2 linked regions of the Elephas maximus indicus genome follow. The protein of the gene in region 1 purifies or fractionates together with the protein of each later gene. This does not show direct contact. Links are inferred from orthologs where the notes say so. Each region holds a gene or a part of one and is shown in the gene's direction. Other genes may lie near its edges.

The links.
Region 2: the proteins of SMC1A (region 1) and WAPL purify together in Homo sapiens (affinity purification with mass spectrometry; 7 studies listed by BioGRID and IntAct, with this or other methods). This does not show direct contact. The link is inferred for Elephas maximus indicus from reciprocal best matches to the Homo sapiens genes SMC1A and WAPL.

What each region holds. Positions count from the first base shown.
Region 1 is NC_064846.1:115,208,280-115,218,066, forward strand, and holds the start of SMC1A (structural maintenance of chromosomes protein 1A), read left to right. Parts: upstream 1-5,720; 5' UTR 5,721-5,817; coding exon 5,818-5,926; intron 5,927-9,787. UniProt on the Homo sapiens protein: Involved in chromosome cohesion during cell cycle and in DNA repair. Central component of cohesin complex. The cohesin complex is required for the cohesion of sister chromatids after DNA replication.
Region 2 is NC_064826.1:122,857,333-122,867,876, forward strand, and holds the start of WAPL (wings apart-like protein homolog), read left to right. Parts: upstream 1-5,892; 5' UTR 5,893-6,372; intron 6,373-9,464; 5' UTR 9,465-9,486; coding exon 9,487-9,985; intron 9,986-10,544. UniProt on the Homo sapiens protein: Regulator of sister chromatid cohesion in mitosis which negatively regulates cohesin association with chromatin. Involved in both sister chromatid cohesion during interphase and sister-chromatid resolution during early stages of mitosis.

The sequences.
Region 1 (9,787 bases):
AAAGAGTGTGGTGTCTTAGAAGCCAAGGGAAATAAAGTGCTTCTAGGAGGAGAGAGTGATCAACTGATGATGGATTGAGATGAGGACTGAGAACTTGACTGATTTAGTAGCATGAGGGTTATTGACAGTGACAGAGCAATTTTGGTAGAGTGTGGCAATAAAAGCCTGAATGAAGTAGGTTCAAGAAACAACCCAGTTTATTAAAAAGAAATACAAGAGAAAAAGAGGAAGGGGGAAACTGTAGATTAAAAAGGACTTCTATATATACAGGTGGGAGAGTCTCTAGCATATACCTAGGAGTGGAAGTGCTGGATGGCAGGGTATATGCATACTTAACTTTACAAGATAATGCTAAATTGCATCAATACAATCATATTATATTGATATCAGTTTACAACAGTGTATAGAGTTCTGGTCACTCCACATCCTAACCAACACTTGGTTATCAGACTTCTTAATTTTTGCCAGTTGTGGGTATAAAATTATAATTATTGATTAATTGGAATTTTCCTTATTGCTAATGAGGTTGTACATATTTTCATGTGTTTTGGGGTATTTTTGTTTACTCTTCTGTGAAGTACTTATTCATATCTGTCCATTTAAAAAAAATCAGGTTGTTTGTCTCTTTCCTATTAATTTTAGGAATTCCTTACATATTCCACACACTAATCATTTCTTGATCATATGCTACCACCTGAAATGGCTGAACATGGACCATTTCATTCTGGTAGAGTAACTCTGTGTATTCCTTCCATCTTCTTTTGGTGCTTCCTGCATTGTTCAATGTTTTACCCATAGAGCCCTTCAAAATTGCAACTTGAGGCTTGAATTTTTTCTTCAGCTCTTTCAGCTTGAGAAATGGCAAGTGTGTTCTTCCCATTTGGTTTTCTAACTCCAGGTCTTTGCACATTTCATTATAATACTCTGTCTTCTTGAGCCATCCTTTGAAGTCTGTTCAGCTCTTTTACTTATTTCTTCCATTCGCTCTAGTTGCTTGCTGTACATTCAAGAGCAAGTTTCACAGTTTCTTCTGACATCCGTTTTGGCCTTTTCTTTCTTTCCTGTCTTTTTAATGACCTTTTGCCTTCTTAATATATGATGTCCTTGATGTCATGCCACAACGCCTCTGGTCTTTGGTCATTAGTGTTCAATGAGTCAAATCTATTCTTGAGATGGTCTCCAAATTAAGGTGGGATATACTCAAAGTCGTATTTTGGGTCTTACGGCCTAGTTTTAATTTTCTCCAGCTTCAACTTGAACTTGCTTATGAGCAATTGATGGTCTGTTCTGCAGTATGCCCCTGGCCTTGTTCTGACTGATGATATTGAGCTTTTCCATGTCTCTTTCCACAGGTGTAGTTGATTTGATTCCTGTGTTTTCCATCTGGTGAGGTCCACATGTATAGTAGCCGTTCATGTTGTTGAAAAAAGGTATTTGCAATGAATAAGCCATTGATTTTGCAAAATTCTGTTGTGCGATCTACAGCATTGTTTCTATTACCAAGGCCATATTTTCCAACTATCAATCTTTCTTCTTTGTTTCCAACTTTTGCATTCCAATAACCAGTAATCAGCATATGATCAACAACTGATAGTACTGAAGGAAGAAGTCCAAGCTGCACTGAAGGCACTGGTGAAAAACAAGGCTCCAAGAATTGACAGGATACCAATTGAGATGTTTCAACAAAGGGATGCAGTGCTGCAGGTGCTCACTTGTCTATGCCAAGAAATTTAGAAGACAGCTACCTGGCCAACTGACTGGAAGAGATCCATATTTGTGCCCATTCCAAAGAAAGGTGATCCAACAGAAGGTGGAAATTATCAAACAATATCATTGTTATGGATTGAATTCTGTCCCCTAAAAATGTCTGTCAACTTGGCTAGGTCATGATTCCCAGTATTGCATGATTGTTTACCATTTTGTCATCTGATGTGATTTCCCTATGTGTTATAAATCCTATCACTATGATGTAATGAGATGGATTAGCGGCAGTTATATTGATGAGATCTACAAGATTAGACAGTGTCTTAAGCCAATCTCTTTTGAGATATAAAAGAGAGAAGCAAAACTTTCATTTAAAGCACAATAAAAATTAAAAAAAAGAGAAGTAAGCAGTGAGACATGGGGACCTCATACCACGAAGAAAGCAGTGCCAGAAGCAGAGCATGTTCTCTGGACCTGAGGTTCCTGTGCTAAGATGCTCCCAGACCAAGGGAAGATTGATGAAAAGGAAGTTCCTCCAGAGCAGAGAGAGAGAAAGCCTTCCCCTGGAGCTGACGTCCCGAATTTGGACTTGTAGCCTACTAGACTGTGAGAGAATAAATTTCTCTTTGTTAAAACCATCTACTTGTGGTATTTCTGTTACAGCAGCACTAGAAGACCAAGACAATCATTAGTATCACATATAAGTAAAATTTTGCTGAACATAAAAAAACAATTGTAGCAGTACATCGGCAAGGAACTGCCAGAAATCCAAGTTGGATTCAGGAGAGGATGTGGAACGAGGGATATCAGATGAATCCTGGCTGACAGCAGAGAATGCCAGAAAGATGTTTACCTGAGGCAGTCGTTCAATCAGAACAAGGGGATACTGCATGATTTAAAGTCAGGAAAGGTGTACGTCAGGGTTGTATCCTTTCACCATACTTATTCAATCTGTATGCTGAGCAAATAATCCAAGAAGCTGGACTATATGAAGAATGGGGCAACAGGATTGAAGGAAGACTTATTAACAACCTGAGATATGCAGATGACACAACCTTGCTTGCTGTAAGCGAAGAGGACTTGAAGCACTTACCGATGAAGATCAAAGACTACAGCCTTCAGTATGGATTACACGTCAACATAAAGAAAACAAAAATCATCACAACTGGACCTTTAAGCAACATCATGATGGGTGGAGAAAATATTGAAGTTATCAAGGACTTCATCTTACTTGGGTCCACAATCAATGCCCATGGAAACAGCAGTCAAGAAATCAAACAACATATTACATTGGGCAAATCTGCAAAATACTTTTTAAAGTGTTGAAAAGCAAAGATGTCACTTTGAGGACTAAGGTATACCTACCTGACCCAAGCCATGATATTGTCAGTCACCTCATAGGCGTGGAAAAGCTGGACAATGAATAAGAAATACCGGAGAATTGATGCCTTTGAGTTATGGTGCTGGCAAAGAATACTGAATATACCATGGACTTCCAGAACGAACAAGTCTGTCTTAGAAGAAGCACAGCCAGAGTGCTCCTTGGAAGCAAGGATGGCAAGACTTCATCTCACATACTTTGAACATGTTATCAGGAGGGACCAGTCCCTGGAGAACGACATCACGCTTGGTAACACAGAGGGTCAGCAAAAAAGAGGAAGACCTTGACAAGATGGATTGACACAGTGGTTGCAACAATGGGCTCAATGTGCAGGACCGGGCAGTGTTTTATTCTGTTGCACATAGGGTTTCTGTGAGTCAGAACCAACTTGATGGCACCTAACAACAACAATCATTTCTTAATTTAAGTGCGGCAAATATCTTCTCCAAACGTGAGGCTTGTCTTTTCACTTTATTATTTTACAATGATTTTTATGGTATCAATTGATACATAGAAAGATATGGTTAACACACATGCAAGTTATGAAGCACAACAATAAAATGAACACCTGTGAACCCTCCATAGCACCCAGAGAATAGAACATTACCAGTACTTTTGAAGCTTTCTGTGTGCACTTGCTTATCTTTTTACTTTCTTTAAGATGTATTTTGAATGTAGTCAAATTACCACTTTTCCTTTAAGCTTAGTTGTTGTTGTGTGCCATCAAGTTGATTCCGACTCAGTAGTACTGACCCTTATATGACCGAGTAGAACTGCCCCATAGGGTTTCCTAGGCTGTAATCTTTATGGGAGCAGATTGCCAGGTCCTTTGTCCTGCAGAGTGGCTGATGGGTTCAAACCGCCAACCTTTTGGTTAGCAGCTGAGCACTTAAGCACTGCAACACCTTAGTAGTTTTTATATTTGGAGAAATCCCTCCTTACCCTGTGGTCATAAAGATATTCTCCTATATTTTCTTCTAAAATTTCTAAAGTTCTGCTTTTCTCATCTAAGTTTTTAGTCTATTTAGAACTGTATTTTGTGTATGGTGTGTGATAAGAACTTAATTTTTTCCCCTAGCTCCATCTCATCTTTTAGAGATGAAACTATAGTTCTCTATGAATTATGAGATTTCTGTCCTTTGGTCATTTTATCCCCTCAGCCTGCTCCTGCTTTTCCAAACTGAACTTCATTTATGGCTCCTCTATTAAATCCTGTCAACCAGGCTTTCTCACTTTCCTGAACTTGTCCTAAGTCTTTAGGACTCTTTCCAGCCTTCAGACATCTTTTTTTTTTAAAGTCACAGGAATGGCTATGGCAGCCACCCAACTCTTTTCATGTCTAAGCCTGAGAATGGCACCAACCCCAGCCCACCTGCTCCATCTGCCACCATAATCAATAAGTAATTCTGACTCATCCAGCCACTCGCAGATTCTAGGGGTTCTCCTAGGAGTCATACTTGGTAGGGAGGACAGACAAGGCCATCCTGAAGGGTAAAAGAAAATCTAAAAGCCTAGTTCCAGACACACAACTAAGTATTACTTCATGATATCTCATATAACTCTTTGTATACAATAGTCCATGTGTCTGGAATGCTGCCCTCCCATCCCCACCTGTCTCTGTCCACCTGGTAAGCTTCTTGTCATCCTCAGAGTCCAGCTCAAAAGTCATCATCTCTGATCCCAGACAAAGTAGAGGCCAAGAAGGTCCCTGAATACCAGGCTAAGGGCTCTAGGCTTTGTCCTGAGGGAAGCTATTGAAGGGTTTTAAGTGAGTGGATAACATATTCATATTAATATCTCTGGTGGCTGATGTAGAAGGATAGGAGGTAGCAACTCAAGGGGACAGGCTAGGGCCTCTCCTACCCAGACTGCAGGTCCCTAGTCAGGTGGGGAGCATTGATTTAGGGACCCTGATTCCTGGGGGTACTCAAAATACCTTTCTCGTCAAGGAGTCCCGGTGTTGAAGCTCCCAGGTTGGGTCTGGGTTCAAGTAGCCAACAAGTGGCTTAGGTCCAAGTCTGTTCTTGGGCTATGGTGGCAGTCTCAGAATTCTGCTTGGAGAACAGGAGGGAGGGAGGCAGGCGACAAAGGTTGTATCTCAGACCACAGGCTTCCCCAGCCTACAACCCTGTCGCCCGGAGTCCCCACAGTTTCCTTCACACTCCATCCCTCCTCCAACTCCACCCCACCCTCAGCAAAGTCTGAGCTCACCTAACAACGATCTTCCCGCCGGTCCCTCCTTCCCGTCAGCCCTCGGCTCCCCGGTGTCCTTCTAATTCCCGATCCCTTGTCCGAGCCCTCTAGCTGGCCAGGCTAAAGCCAGAGCCGAGCTCCCATTTTCCTCTTGCCCTGCGGGGCCTAACCTGCTGCGACTTCTGATTTTCAGAAACAGTGGGCTCTAGTCTCGCCAGACCTCCCGACACCGCCTCCTCAAGGATACATTCGGCTGCAGCAGCGGTTTGTGTTGCCAAGGCAACAGTAAAGAGCGGTGGGGCTCAAATGCCTGTCGTAAGCCCGCGCCCCGGCAACGGATCCACAAAACTTCCACGCTAAACCGAAGGCCCCGCCCCGTGGTCTCGCTCGCTACGGACACCGGAAATCCCGTTGGGTTGGACTCATTCTCGCGAGACTTGCCGTCCACCCGGCTTGCACTGCGGTGTTTCCCGCGCGGGCTACCGAGTTCTAGGGCGTACGGCGCGGCCTCTCGTACCGCTGCCGGCGCCTTCGGCGTCATGGGTTTCCTGAAACTGATTGAGATCGAGAACTTTAAGTCGTATAAGGGGCGACAGATCATCGGACCATTTCAGAGGTTCACAGCCATCATTGGACCTAATGGCTCTGGTGAGATAAACCTGGCCGCGGCCTCGCGCACGTCCCGGCCTGGACCCCCTGTCCGGCGACAGAGTAGTACAACCCAGCCAATGCCACCTGAAAAGTCGCGAACCCTAACGTGCTCTTTGCCCCTTCTGAAGGGGTTCGGTCCGAACCTGCTCTCTCTACTCGGGTGCTCTTACTCGAACCTCTTCCCCAGGCGTCAGTTGTCCGTACTTTGTGCGGTCCCCGCTCGGGTCCGAGTGGTACGGGCCGAACTGTACGTTGCCCCGCCCACCACCCCTCCCGCCAAAAGTGGCGCGTCCCCAGTTGGCCGCCAGCCGCTGACCCCACCGGACCCTCTCGATCTGGCTCCTCCCGCCTTACTTGACCTTTCCGGAAGTCGTGGGATGGCTGGTATCCTTCCTGTGGCCTCTGGGGCCCAAACGGTACACTTCTGCCTCAGCTCAGCGCCCCCTCCCGCCTCGCATCAATTCCCCTTTTTTTACTCTTCTCCCAAGGCGGCACTTTTGAATCTTGGACCCAGCGTTTGAGTCTCCAGGGTGCTTTGGGTCTCGATCCCCTCCCCCTGACACACACCTTATGACGCCGTCAAAAGCCAGAACTCACTCATCAAATGTTCATTGAATGCGTACAGTTTATTGGGAGCTGTTCAAGGTGCTGTGGAAACAGAGTAGAATAAGCGAACTCTATATATACTTTCAGGGGACTTAGATTCCAGGGGGGAAAGATGATAATAAAGGAGAAAATAGGATAATTTTAGGTTGTAATAAGTGCTGTGAAGGAAATAGAACAAGTTGATGTGATAGAGGAACGTGTGTATCTTTGGAAAGGGTGGTAATATAAGGCGACTGTTTCATGTCTTAATTCCCCGTCTCTAAATTATACACCATGGTTCTTCCTACCTACCCTCAGAAGTGGTCCATTTGGAATTCTGCTGTGTGCCTCCACCCCAGAGATGTTCTAGCTGAATCATTTCCTAACCTGAGAGGCTGCCCTTGCTGAAGTACTGTAGTTCATACTGAATACCTTCCTTGGAGTCTTGCCTGGGTGTGGCTGTCTGCCTAAAAAACCCAAAAACCAAACCCACTGCCGTCGAGTCGATTCCGACTCATAACGACCCTATAGGACAGAGTAGAACTGCCCCACAGTTTCCAAGGTGCGCCTGGTGGATTTGAACTGCCAACCTTTTGGTTAGCAGCTGTAGCTCTTAACCACTACGCCACCAGGGTTTCCGCTGTCTGCCTAGAGCAAGGTTTTTCAACAGCAATGTTACTGACATTTTGGGCAGGATAATTGTGGGGATGTTCTTATACACAGAAGGATTTTTGGCAGCATCCCTGACTTCTACCCACAAGATGACAGTAGCACCCCCACTCTCCAGGTGTGACAACTGAAAATGTCTTCAGACATTGCCAAATGTCCTCTGGGGGCCAAAACCACTCCCCCCTCTTCCTGAAACACTGGGCTAAAGTGTTTTACCCCAGTTTCTTAGAGTTTTAGTGCGGTGACCCCTGTGGAAAGAGCCAAGGTGTACCTCTTACATTCAGTTCCCTCAGCACTGGTAGATTTGTATACCCAGCTGTTCAGAAAAGCCATTATCCTTAATTCCCCCTTCCCCATTCTTCAAGGCCGATCTCCACAAGACATTTTTTGATTCTCCTCAGTCAGTGATTCCTCTTCCTCTCTGGCACAAATAGTAGACACTTGGTACACATTAATGTTTATTTTTTTTGTCTTGTATTCATGGCATTTTGTTTTCATATCTTTATCACTGGTCTATAAGTGTTCCAAAGAAGACATTCCTTGAAATGTTTTACCTTTGTTAACTTTGTTACCCGAGTGCCCATCTTATAACACATGTTGTGAAAATGTTTACAATATTGAATGATTCTAAGTAGAGAGAGACCTCTGGTTGTAAGATGTTCCTGTTATCCCTGGGAAGCAGTAGAGAAGCCCAAAGTTTAGAAATTGGTACCTAAATGACTGACTCTTGGTCTGTGTGATATGCTAATCCTGCTCTGATGAGGGAGACAGAGCTAAGAGTTATGACCTATGTTAGGATAAAAAAAATTAGGATAGTACTGCCACTTATTGAGTACCTACTATGTGTCAAGTACTTTATTTATTGGGATTTTTACATTTAATTTCTCACAGTGAGATACCATTATCCCCATTTTATACATGAGGAGACTGAGGCACAAAGAGGTGTGATAACTTGCCTTTGGTCCTCAGAGCGAAGATCAGAAGCCATTCCTGTCATACTTCAAAGCCTATGCTCCTTCCATTCCAACAGAGCAATATGTGCCAAGCTGTGTTTTAGATGTTTCACCCATGAGTCATGTTTTTTCATATTTTCCAGGTGAGAGAATGGAAGGTTACAGATACTGTGCCATTTGCCCAGGGTCACACAGCTAAGACGTAGTGAAACTAAGATTAGGGCTTGGTCTATTGGACTTGAGTCCAAGCTCTTTTTTTTTATAATATTTTATTGTGTTTTTGGCGAAACTTTACATAGCAAATTAGGTTCCTATTTAACAATTTCTGCATACATTGTTCGGTGACGTTGGTTATATTTTTCACAATGTGTCAACATTCTTATTATTTCTGTTCTGATAGTTCTGTTTCCAGAAATCTAGTTTCCCTGCCCCCTTAACTTTTCATTTTTGCTTTTGAGTAAACGTTGACTCTTTGGTCTCATAAAGATGATTTTTTAAAGGAGCACAACATTCATGGGTGATATTCTTTATTTTATGAGCCAATCTGTTCAGCTGAAAGGTGACCTCTGGGAGTAGTTTTGGTTCTAAGTTTAAGGGCATCTAAGGGTGATAGTCTTGAGGGGTCCTCTCATCTCGACTGGTCCAGTAAGTCCGGACTTTTTAAGAATATGAGTTCTGTTCTACGTTTTTCTCCCTTTCTGTCAGGATCCATCTGTTGTGTCCTTGATCAGAGCAGCTGGTAGTGGTAGCTGGGCACCATCTAGTTCTGGTATCGGGGTAGATGAGGCTGTGGTTCATATAGACTATTAGTCCTGTAGACTAGTTTCTTCTCTGAGTCTTTTGTTTCCTTCTTTCTCTTTTGCTCCAGATAAGTAGAGACCTGTAGTTGGCTGCTTGCAAGCTTTTAAGACCCTAGACAATACTCACCAAACTAGGATGTAGAACATGAACTTTATTATGCCAGTTGACCGAATTGTCCCACAACACTATGATCCTAAGCCTTCAAACCCAGTAAACCAGTCCCATGAGGTATTCGCTTATGTCTAAGAAGTGTCTGTAACTGTGCTCCCTGTACACTTTATTATATATATGAATACATACACGTGTACATATACATGTATATACATATGCATATAGCTGTGTACACCTGTGCATGCATGTATTATATACCCACATATGCCTACCTATACATGTATATGCATATGTACGTATATATGTAACCACACTTACAATTTTTGGTTGTTGCAAAATTCTGTATGTCATTACATTTACCAAAAACATCCTTTATTCTTGTGTACTTCTTAGTGACATCATTTACCTTGGTCAAGTTGTGCACCCTTCACCCGTATTTACTGTTACCTTTTCCATCACCAAAAGTAACAAATAACAAGTGTCTAGTATCCAGAGAATGATTCCCCCTCCCTTCTCCACCCATCCCTGGTAAACACCAATGAAAGTTGGTGTCTGGATATATACCTATTCTTGTCTTTTTATAAGAGTAAGATCATACAATATTTGTCCTTCTGTGATTGACTTATTTCACTCAGCATAATGTTCCCCAGATTCATCCATGTTACAATGTTTTTAGAACTCATAATTATTCTTTGTGGCTGCATAGTATTCCCTTGTATGTATGTACCACATTTTGCTT
Region 2 (10,544 bases), on another chromosome or scaffold:
AGCTGAGCGCTTAACTGTTTGCACCACCAGGGCACCTTGCTGCGCATATAGTAGTGAACAAAAGTCAACCCCTGTCCTCATGGAGTTTATATTCTAGTGGACTGATAATACGTAAAACAAACATGATGGCTACTATGGAGAAAAACAGCAGAGAGAGGGGATACAGAGTGCTGGCATGGCACGCTGAGGGTTTTAACTTAAGCAGCATGGTCAGGGAAGGCACTACTGAGAAGACACTTGAGCAAAGACCTGAGGAGGCGAGGGAGTGAGCCATGTGCCTATCTTGAGGATAGCAAGGGAACAGCAAGTTCAAAGGCCCTGAAGCAGCAGCTGGCTTGGCATGTTCTAGTAGAAGACAGAGGCAAGCTTGGCAAGAAGGGAAAGGATAGGAGTAGGCAGGGGCCAGGTAACACAGGGCCTTGTAGGCCATGGTAATGATTTTAGATTTTAGTCTTGGTGATGGGAAGACCCTGGAGGGTTTCTGATCAGGAGAGGTATCACAGAACAGTAGGGGTGAGGACCCCACGGAGAAGAGGGCTGTCTCCAGAGGCAGGGGTCAGGTCACGAGAATTCTAAGAGTTGCTGGGTACCAATCCTTGTCAAGCAACACGTCCCCAGGGAAAGTTTCCCTTGCTTTGTCTTTCAACTACTCAGCAGTTTATTCCCCAAAGGATGTTACCATCTCTGGAGAACATATTCCAATTATCCTTGAAAACAAGGTAATTGGGATTATAGTAGTATTCACATTCTCAGTTCTCAGAATGAAAACCTATCCAAGGCCAGAACAAAAGGTAACTCCTGAAAGCGTCCCCTTCCTATTGGGAAAACCCAGTCAGCAACCATTCATGGAGCCACTAAGCTACTGGAAGCTATTGCTAGTGATTTTAAGGTCACTTTCTTTCTAAGACATAATCTTACGCAAGAGAAGGACGTAAGTGGGGGTATTTATTCAACAAATATTTACTGAGGTTCACTTTGTGCCAGGTGCTGTTCTAGGTGTTAGGGGTGCAACAGTAAATAAGACAAAGAGCACTTCCTCACGGGGAAGAGAAATACAGAAGATAAATATAACAAATATGTGATAGGTTTGATGGGGGAGATAAGTGGCCCCGAGAAAAATAAAGCACAAACAGAGAACACTTGGGATTGACAGTGTTGCAATTTACAACAAGCTGGTCAGGGGGAGAGTCACTGAGAAGCTCCATTTGGGTAAAGACCTAAAGGAGTGAGGGAGCTGAGGGAAACTTGTTGTAGAAGAGGTCCTGACAAGTGCAAAGGGCCTGAGGTGGGAACATATGCCCGGCAATTTTGTGAAACAGCAAGGAGATCATGCAGGGCCTTGCCACACAACCAGTACAATGAATAACTGTACAGTTCATAACTGTATTCCACATTCTATCACAAGGGAAAATTCACTGTAGGCAATGTAGTAGTCTCTGACACCAGGTTCCCTGAACCGAATTCTCTTAAGTTGTAATACATTTTACCACATATTATCAGAAAAGGCCTTATTAGAAACTCCAGGTCTGACAGTTCATGCCCATGCCTTGCTAAAAGGGGTGCAGCAATAGCAGAACAGTTTTCTTTGCAGGATTTTCTTAAACACTCAGCCAAAGGAAGTACTAGCCCACCCCTGTGCAGCCCAAGGTAATGGGGTTCTGCCCTCCTCCAGGTAGCACAGGAGGATGTCCTGTGCCACCGAAGGGTACAAACAACACGGCTCACGTCAATATTTTCAGTTTTGGGCATACATATGACATTTCATAATAAAGAAAAATCAGAGAACTTGCATAAAACAACAAAGAAAAACAGCTGCTGTCGACTCCAACTTATGGCGACACCACGTGTATCAGAGAAGGGCTATGCTCCATAGGGTTTTTAAATGACTGATTTTTCAGCAGCAGATCACCAGGCTTTTCTTCCAAGATGCCTCAGGGTAGATTCAAACCACCAACCTCCTGGTTAGCAGTTGAGTGCGTTAACAGCTTGTACTACCCAGGGACTCCAGGGCTTGCATAGAGGCATTCTATTTTAACAAAGTACCTATTGTCTACCTGGTGTATGTGTGTAGCAGACTGAGAACCATTCTAGGGCTACAGGGTGTGAGTGAGGGGGGTGCTGGTTATGAACTAAAACCTATTGCTGTCAAGTGCATTTTGACTTACAGCAATCCTACAGGACAGAGTAGAACTGCCCCCTAGTTTCCAAGGAGTGGCTGGTAGATTTGAACTCCTGACCTTTTGGCTAGCAGTTATGAACTAAACGAACCAAGAAAACAAAAAACAGCTCACCCTGGCGTAGAACTCGGGGCCATGGCAAAGGAATGGAATGCGGCCTCCGAGGGCATTTGTCTGCCTCAGTGGAACCAGGGAGATAAAGGGTAGATACCTCTAACCACTCAAAGGAAACTGAACTCCAGATTTCAAGGTGGCGGTACAGGCTGAAGGCCCAGGGACCCTGAATTTCCTTCAAGGAGGGGCCCTAGAGTGAGCAGGCTCTCCACCTGTCTTTAGTGTGGGGCACCTGAGAGTAGAGAGCAATAGCACAGCTCTGTTCAATATTCATATACTAAATAGGGGGTCAGTGAAAAAAGAGGAAGTCCCTTAATGAGATGGATTAACACAGTGATTGCAACAACAGGCTCAAAACACAGCAAAGACTGTGAGGATAGCGCAGGACTTGTCGACATTTCGTTCTGTTACACACAGGGTCACTGTGAGTCAAAACCGACTCCATGGGACCTGATAACAAGCTTCCATAGATTAAACACATACACCTACAGACATAGTTTTTTACTTTCTAAATCCTGTACTACTTTCTACCAGATTCAAGATTATCTATAAGTAATGAGTACCCAATGCTTAAATATGTTTGATTCCTCCTATAGTTGCAGTGTCTTCAGCAAATGCCAAACCTTCCATTCCTCACCTGTTAAGACAAAGACAAAAGGCTGGGATACCAGCTAAGTCCCTGAAGAGCCTAGGATTGTTCCTCACAAAGACTAGGTTCTTGACATTTACCCTTCCCCTCCTAAGAAAAATGTTAGATTGGGGTCAAATGTTATAGGTATGCTTTAAGTCAGTGCCTGCCAAAATTCAACGTGTGGACCAGTCGCTGGGGGGAAACTTGTTAAAGTGAAGATTCTGATCCAATGGAGTCGGGGCTGGGATGGGAAATATGCCTTTCCAACAAGCTTCTATCCTATGCTTCTGCTGCTGACCAAGGACCACTCTTTGAAAAGCTGGAATTTTTGTCTTTTATTAGCATTAAAAATTTTTTTTTTATTGTGCTTTAAGTGAAAGTTTACAAGTCAGTCTCTCATACAAAAATTTATATACACGTTGCTATATACTTCTAGTTACTCTCCCCCAATGAGACAGCACAGTCCTTCTTTCCACCTTCTTTCTGTGTCCATTCAGCCAGCTTCTGACACCCTCTGCCCTCTCACCTCCCCTCCAGACAGGAGCTGCCCATATAGTCTCCTGTGTCTACTTGACCCAAGAAGCTCAGTCCTCATCAGTATCATTTTCTATCCTAGAGTCCACTCCAATCCCTGTCTGAAGAGTTGGCTTTGGGAATTGTTCCTGTCTTGGGCTAACAGAAGGTCTGGGGACCATGACCTCCGGGGTCCTTCTAGTCTCAGTCAGACCATTAAGTCAGGCCCTTTTACCAGAATTTGAGGTCTGCATCCAACTGCTTTCCTGCTCCCTCAGGGGTTATCTGTTGTGTCCCCTGTCAGGGCATGAGTAGCGGGAATTTAACAATACAAAGTTCCATTATTGGAAACCCTGGTGGTACAGTGGTTAAGAGTTCGCCTGTTAACCAAAAGGTCAGCAGTTCAAATCCACCAGATGCTCCTTGGAAACCCTATGAGGCAGTTCTACCCTGTCCTACCGGGTCGCTATGAGTTGGAATTGACTCCACGGCAATGGGTTTGGAAGTTCCATTATTAACACAACCACCACACAAACAGTTCTGGTGGAGACCTTACCTGTTTTGTGGGATAACAAGAGCTCCAAGGACAATTTCTTTAACTAAATTCTTTCACTTCAGCATACTTCAGTCACTAACCTACTCAACTGCCCAGCCCCGCGGAGGCCAGGGCATAACGAATACATCCTTTGGTCTCAGGGTTCACAGCATTCTCCTACAGGAAAACCTTGCAATTGTCTCTCTGGCCACTTTGGGCTTTTTGATCATAGCTTTTGCCTCTGCTGATAATTACTCCCTAATTAGCACCCTCTACTGTGTTTTTACTGTGTCATCTAAATAATTATAGGAAGTAAAACCTGCGCCGCTGCCTGCAATTCTCAAACTGATAAAACAAGATCCTACCCTGGTTTTTCAAAAAACACAAAACTGATCCAACTGAAAATCATGTTGGTACAACCCTCAGTGGAATACACAGACGACTGGTAACTTCCATTAACGTAAAAGACAGAAGAGTTGATTTCTTTCACAACGAGAAAATACTTATATAGCGGTTGGAAAACTGTAAATGTCAAAATATAAAATTTGCAAGCAGTCACGTCCAAATAAAACAATCCAACCATGCTAAAATCCACCTTACATTCCTATTGGGAAGAGCAGCAAGGTCTCTGAACTACTTTTTCAGGGTTTGCCCAATATATCGGAGAGAGCTTGGTAACTTACAGGTGCATTCAAAGCAAATTATTCATTTGTGGAAGAAAGACAGGCGTTTCACTGGAAGCAATTACGGTAGTACTTTCCCCATTTCCCAGGTGTGTCTATCAACAGCCTTCCGAACAGCAGGGTCGTCAGAGCCTGATGAATCATGCATCTCTATTAGGACGAGCCCATTGTGCTACTCTTTGGAACGGTGTTTTCCCACTGCGGCCTTTTAAAAACAACTTTCCAATTTTCTTAATAGGTAATGCTGACAAGGAAAAAAAACCTTAAACAGCACAAAAGGATGTGCAGCGAAAAATAAGTCTTCCTTCACCCCCTCATTCCCCTACTTCCCCAGAGACAATCACTGGTTCAGTTCTTTAAACTTTTTACTACAAAAAATTGCAGATACACAGACTGGTATAAGGAGCCCGCGTGTGACGCATCACGCAGCCTCCACAATGGAAAACATCCCGCCGTCCTGTATTATTCCCCCTCCCCCGGCTTTTTGCTGGAGTATTTTAAAGTAAATCTAAGGCACCAGATCATTTTACCTGTCAAAAATTCAGTACGTGAATTTAAAAATGGGGGGGGGGACCACATTACCATTATCACGTCCAACAAGATTGCCCATGGCTCCTTAATACCACCCAGTAACCCCGGGGTCATTTTAACCCGAGGGAGTGGGACGGCCAGGAAACTACGAGAGTCAGGTCTGCGGAGCCGGACGGTGGCGCATGAAGGCGCCGGGGCTGAGATGACCGTGGCAGTCGAGCGCCCAGCGCCCGGGCCTCCCGCAGCGCCGTCATTACCTGCGCCGGGCCCGCACAGGCCAGGCCGGGCCGAAGGCTGCTGGAGCCGCGAGCTCCCTGCCTCCCCTCTCCCGGGCGGTGGCCCCAGCAAGCCCGGCGCAGCTGCACAATCCACTGTCCCCAGACACCGGCGGGTCCCAGGAGGGGAAACGATTGACACAGCTGCCTGCACCGCGCCCCCGGCCCTCCCCCGGGGCACCTGCGTCTCCCGGCGGGCCCGGGAGCTGGAACCGGCTCCCGAGCCGGGACGGGCCAGGCCCGCGGCGACCGCTCCACCCACCGCCCACTCCCGCGCCGGGCTCTCGACACTGCGATTCGCGGACCGGGACTACAACTCCCGTCGGGCCCCGCGCCCGAGCCAATGGCGGGCCCCGGAGCATGCGTGTCGCGGCGCCTGCGCGGCAGTTTGAGTAAGCGGCCGCTCGATTGGCTGCGGGGTCGGGCGGCCGCGCGGGGCCTGTGGGAAGCGGAGTGACGGAGCGAGCGGCTGTTGGAGGAAGGAGGTGGGGGCCGGGAGCGCAAATGGCGTTGAGATGGTTCAGGGCCCTGTTCAAACTCCAGCGCTGACCATTCACCGGCGGAAGCGGCGGCGCAGGAGGCGGTGGCGGCCCAGCAGGGGCACGTAGCGGGCTCCGGTACCGGCTCCGGCGGCGGCGAGGCCAGGGAGGCCTAGGCCCGGGCCCGGCCGGCGGCGGTCAAGGCGGGGAGGGAAGTTGCGGGGTCTCCGCTGCCCCCCCGCCCGGTTTCCTATTTACCGAGAGCGGAGCGGCAGGTTTTGACGGTGGCAGATCCCCCTTCCTCACCCCCTTCCTCTCTTCGCTCACCGGCCGGCCCTGCGCTCACGCGCGGGGCTCCCGCGCCCGCCCGTGGGCCGTTGGGAGCGGGAGAGGCGGAGGCGACCCGAGGCCAAAGCACCCGCCAGGCGCCGAGGGTAAGTGAGGTTTCGGGCGGCTGCCTAGGCCGGGAGCGAGCCTGGGAGGGTGGGGGACGCCGGGGCGGCGAGAGTCTCGCTACCTCACCCGCCGTGTCTCTGAGGAAGTTGGGCAGGGGAACAAACTGCACAACTCTTTTTTTCCTTTTTTTCTCATTTTTTTCCCGGCAGCTGCTGATTTACTTCCCTCGGTATACCTGGTCGAGTGTGTAGGTTTCAGCTCTAAGACCTTTCCCGTCTTTTTCTCCACTGAGGAGACGGCCACTGAGGCCTTTACACTGTCCTAGGGATTTGGTGGCAGAGGCTTCCGGGGCGTTGGAAACTACATCCCTTTCCTGGGCGGTCAGGGTAGGAAGGGTCGAAAAGTTGCTTGAGTTTCCAGCCGCAGGGGCCCCCTCTCCCATTACCGTCCTCCGCACCGTTCGCCTCCAGGTGAGGATTTCTGAGTGGTTAGGTTTGCCCCTTTCGACTTTCCTTTTTTTTTATGGAAGCTCCTAAGCCGGACAGACGCTAGATATGGTCGGTGGCTAAGTGTGAGGACTCTGTCTCAGCTCGTTTCCCTGAAAATTTGACCTGCCTTTGGGCTGAGGCAAAGGCCCAATGACCGAAAAAACTTAACTGTGCATCATTCTTTCCTTTTTAGTTAGGGTAGTCTTTGGAGTTTGAAGCCTGAACAAGATAGTCTGTGTACTTGAGGCCCCACTTAAAACACGTCCAGTACGTCTGCGTGCTGGTGTTTTAATTTATACATGTTTTACACTTTATGCTTAGAGACAGCCACTGCAATAGTCTGTTTACTGACTTTTAAGAAAACTTTTTTTTAATGGAAAATTATAAAGGAAATAAAAAATAGGGGTTTTATATAATGAACTCTTTTGTACCCGTCGCTCGGTTTCAACACGTTAACTTTTAATCAAATTTGTTTCACCTACACAGGTTCCATTCTGCACACCGTAGCGTTAAGGAAAAAAAACGCTGAGACTTCATCAAGAAGTATTTTAGTATTTACTTGTTAAAAGACGTGGACTCTTTCGAAAAATATAGGCTCAGTATTATTATCATTTAGCCAAAAGCCAAACCCGTTGCAGTCCAGTCGATTCTAACTCGTAGGGACCCTATAAGACAGAGTAGAACTGCCGCATAGTGCTTCCAAGGAGTGGCTGGTGCGTTTGAACTACCAACCCTTTGGTTTGCAGCCATAGCTCTTAACCACTGCGCCACCAGGGCTCCATTATCACTTTTAAAATAATTAACCATTCATTTGTATCAAATGCCAATGTATGAAGTCTATTGCTAGACTTTAATTTTCAACAGTGAATCTTTTGTGGTTCTAAGTGCATTTTTATAATGATTTTTTCTTGTGTGGGCTTAAAGGAGCTCAAGTCTAAATTTTTGGTTTGGCCCTTCAGTCTGCATTTTTAGGTGATTACTGCATAAGTGTATCCAAAACATTCTAGGGTTGTTGTTGTGTTCTAAATGCAGGTCTGCAGATCAGGGCTTTATGTTCTTGAAGGAATAAGGAGAAAAAATGACTATTTTTCTGGTCTATGGTAGCTCCCCAACGTGCTTAGTTTTGTTTAGAATGTAAGTAACAGGAAAGATACAAGATTCTTTATCGTAAATCTGTAGTACAAGGAGAAATCGATCTTCTCAGGAAAAAGTTTTATGACATGTTAGGAAGTTTTTAGATAAATTACCAATTATTTTAAGACAGATGTGTATGATGACCAAATTAATCGTTATTGTGTCAAGTTATAATCATGGGAGGCAGGAATGTTCTACTTAATATATATAACTAAGTTGGACAGTGATGAGTCACTATAAAATGTCTTTAAAGCATAGGCCGTATATCATTAAAATTGTTCTAAGTTTCAAAGTAATGAAGATTTTCAAGTCTGGAGGCAGCTGCTCACTTTTTTCCTTGTTATATTGGTATTTGGAAACCCTGATGGCGTAGTGGTTAAGTGCTGTGGCTGCTCAACAAAAGGTTGGTGGTTCAAATCCACCAGGCGCTCCTTGGAAACTCTATGGGGACAGTTCTACTCTGTCCTGTAGGGTCGCTATGAATCGGAATCGACTCGCCGGCAGAGGGTTTGGTTTGTTTTGGTTTATATTAGTATCTAAACTTCACAAGGGCAAAGTGTAAGAAATCGATAAGAAGTATTTAAAAATAACGTAATTTGCTTTTTAAAAATGTTTGATTCTTGACTTACTGTCCTGACAATTTTTTTTTCCTTCCTAGTATCTGTTGTTGTTATAAAGATAAATCAATTTGTCCCTTATAAAGGTAGTAGGAAAAATAAAGATAATGTGTTTGTATTGCTTTGCTTGATAATCCACGGAACAACGTAGTACGCTAGATTTCACCAGCCCCAGAATATATAACTCGGCAAATGAGCACAGCGCTATGGGGACAAGGAAGATAGAATAAGGATGGTTTCTTGCACTCTGGGACATGACCACCTAAGCAATAGTTTTCAAGTCACTGTCCGAATTACATTAGACCAAGAATCAGAATCTTCAAGTTTGGGTTAAAAGATGCAGGTTGTAATACATAAGAACACTGCACCAAATTCTGGCTTTCTTTTCTGCTGTGAATAAGTGCTCTGAAATTTCAAGAAAACTAAACTTAGTCGAGTATTTAACGTTTCTGAGATGCTAACAAAAAAAAATTTTGTTCTACCTAAGATTTTATATTAGGGTAATTACCCTATTTAGAGTACATTTTTAAGGGTAAACTTGATGTTTGTACAAATAGTAAATAGTTCATTTAGAACACAGATGTTTCACTATAAGTAAGTTTTGTGGATGCTATCTTATAAATTGGCTGGTCATGCCTTTTTTACTTTGTAAGTAGTGTATGAGTATGTACTCATCGTTAAAAAAAAATTGAATTGGCGTATGGAAGTATATGGAGTAAAAATGAGCCTCTTTACACCCTTTCCCAGTATTTTTTAAACCGTTTTTAAAGGCTTGTATCTTGTCCTGAATGTTGAAAGTAAGATGGGGAGAATCTGTAAGTTCTTATTTTTATATTTGGTATTAGTTACTTGGAGGTTATATATATGTATGTTTTTTTTTTTTTTTTACAGGGAATATGAAACAGGTGTCAAAATGACATCCAGATTTGGGAAAACATACAGTAGGAAAGGAGGAAATGGCAGTTCAAAGTTCGATGAAGTCTTTTCCAACAAACGGACTACCCTTAGCACAAAATGGGGAGAGACCACATTTATGGCTAAATTAGGGCAGAAGAGGCCCAATTTCAAACCAGATATCCAGGAAATCCCAAAGAAACCTAAGTTGGAAGAAGAAAATACTGGGGATCCTTTTGGATTTGATAGTGACGATGAGTCTCTACCAGTTTCTTCAAAGAATTTAGCCCAGGGTAAGGGTTCCTCTTATTCAGAATCTAGTGAAGCTGCTCAGCTGGAAGACGTCACGTCTGTACTTGAAACTAATAGCAAAATTAGTCATCCAGTGGGTGAAGACAGTGTTGAATCTGATAAATGCTTACCTTTGGAAGATATTCTGGTTGGAAAAGAAAAGAGCACAAACCATATCTTTGAAGGTGACGCAAGCAAAAGTAGCTGTGCTAAATTAATAAGTTCAGGTAAGTTTGGATTTTCTTTATCTTGATCCATGTAGCATCATGCAAGCCATTTAGTTAAATGGTTTAAATTCAGAAATATTAAAACTCTTGGATTTTGTTTCTACACTTAAGATTATTGGAGACTGTTGACAATTTTGTAAAGGAAATTTAAGAACTTAAACCAGTTGGAGGTTGGAATTTTATTTAAACAATTTGGACTAGATGTTCTAGACTGTTTTTCCGGGTACATTTGGGGAACAGTCATTCATAAATCCCTGATTCCAGTTCCAACTAGAAACATCTTTTTCTGTTGTGTCTCATTTCTGTTATTGTAGAGGGTTTGGATGGTTATTGATAATGAAAGTGAGATGAACATTTACAGTGAAGATGAGCTTTAGGAGTGATACACTTTTCTCCAGAACTAGTTCAGGATGGTTAAGGAGGTATTGAGTGGAATCAGTGAAGAATTGAACTGTATTGTATATTGAGATCAGTTTGGAATCTTTCTGGGGCTAGTAGCAACTTGTATTAGTAAATTTTAATCCATAGAACTGGTTGTATTTTATAAATGTTAATTGGT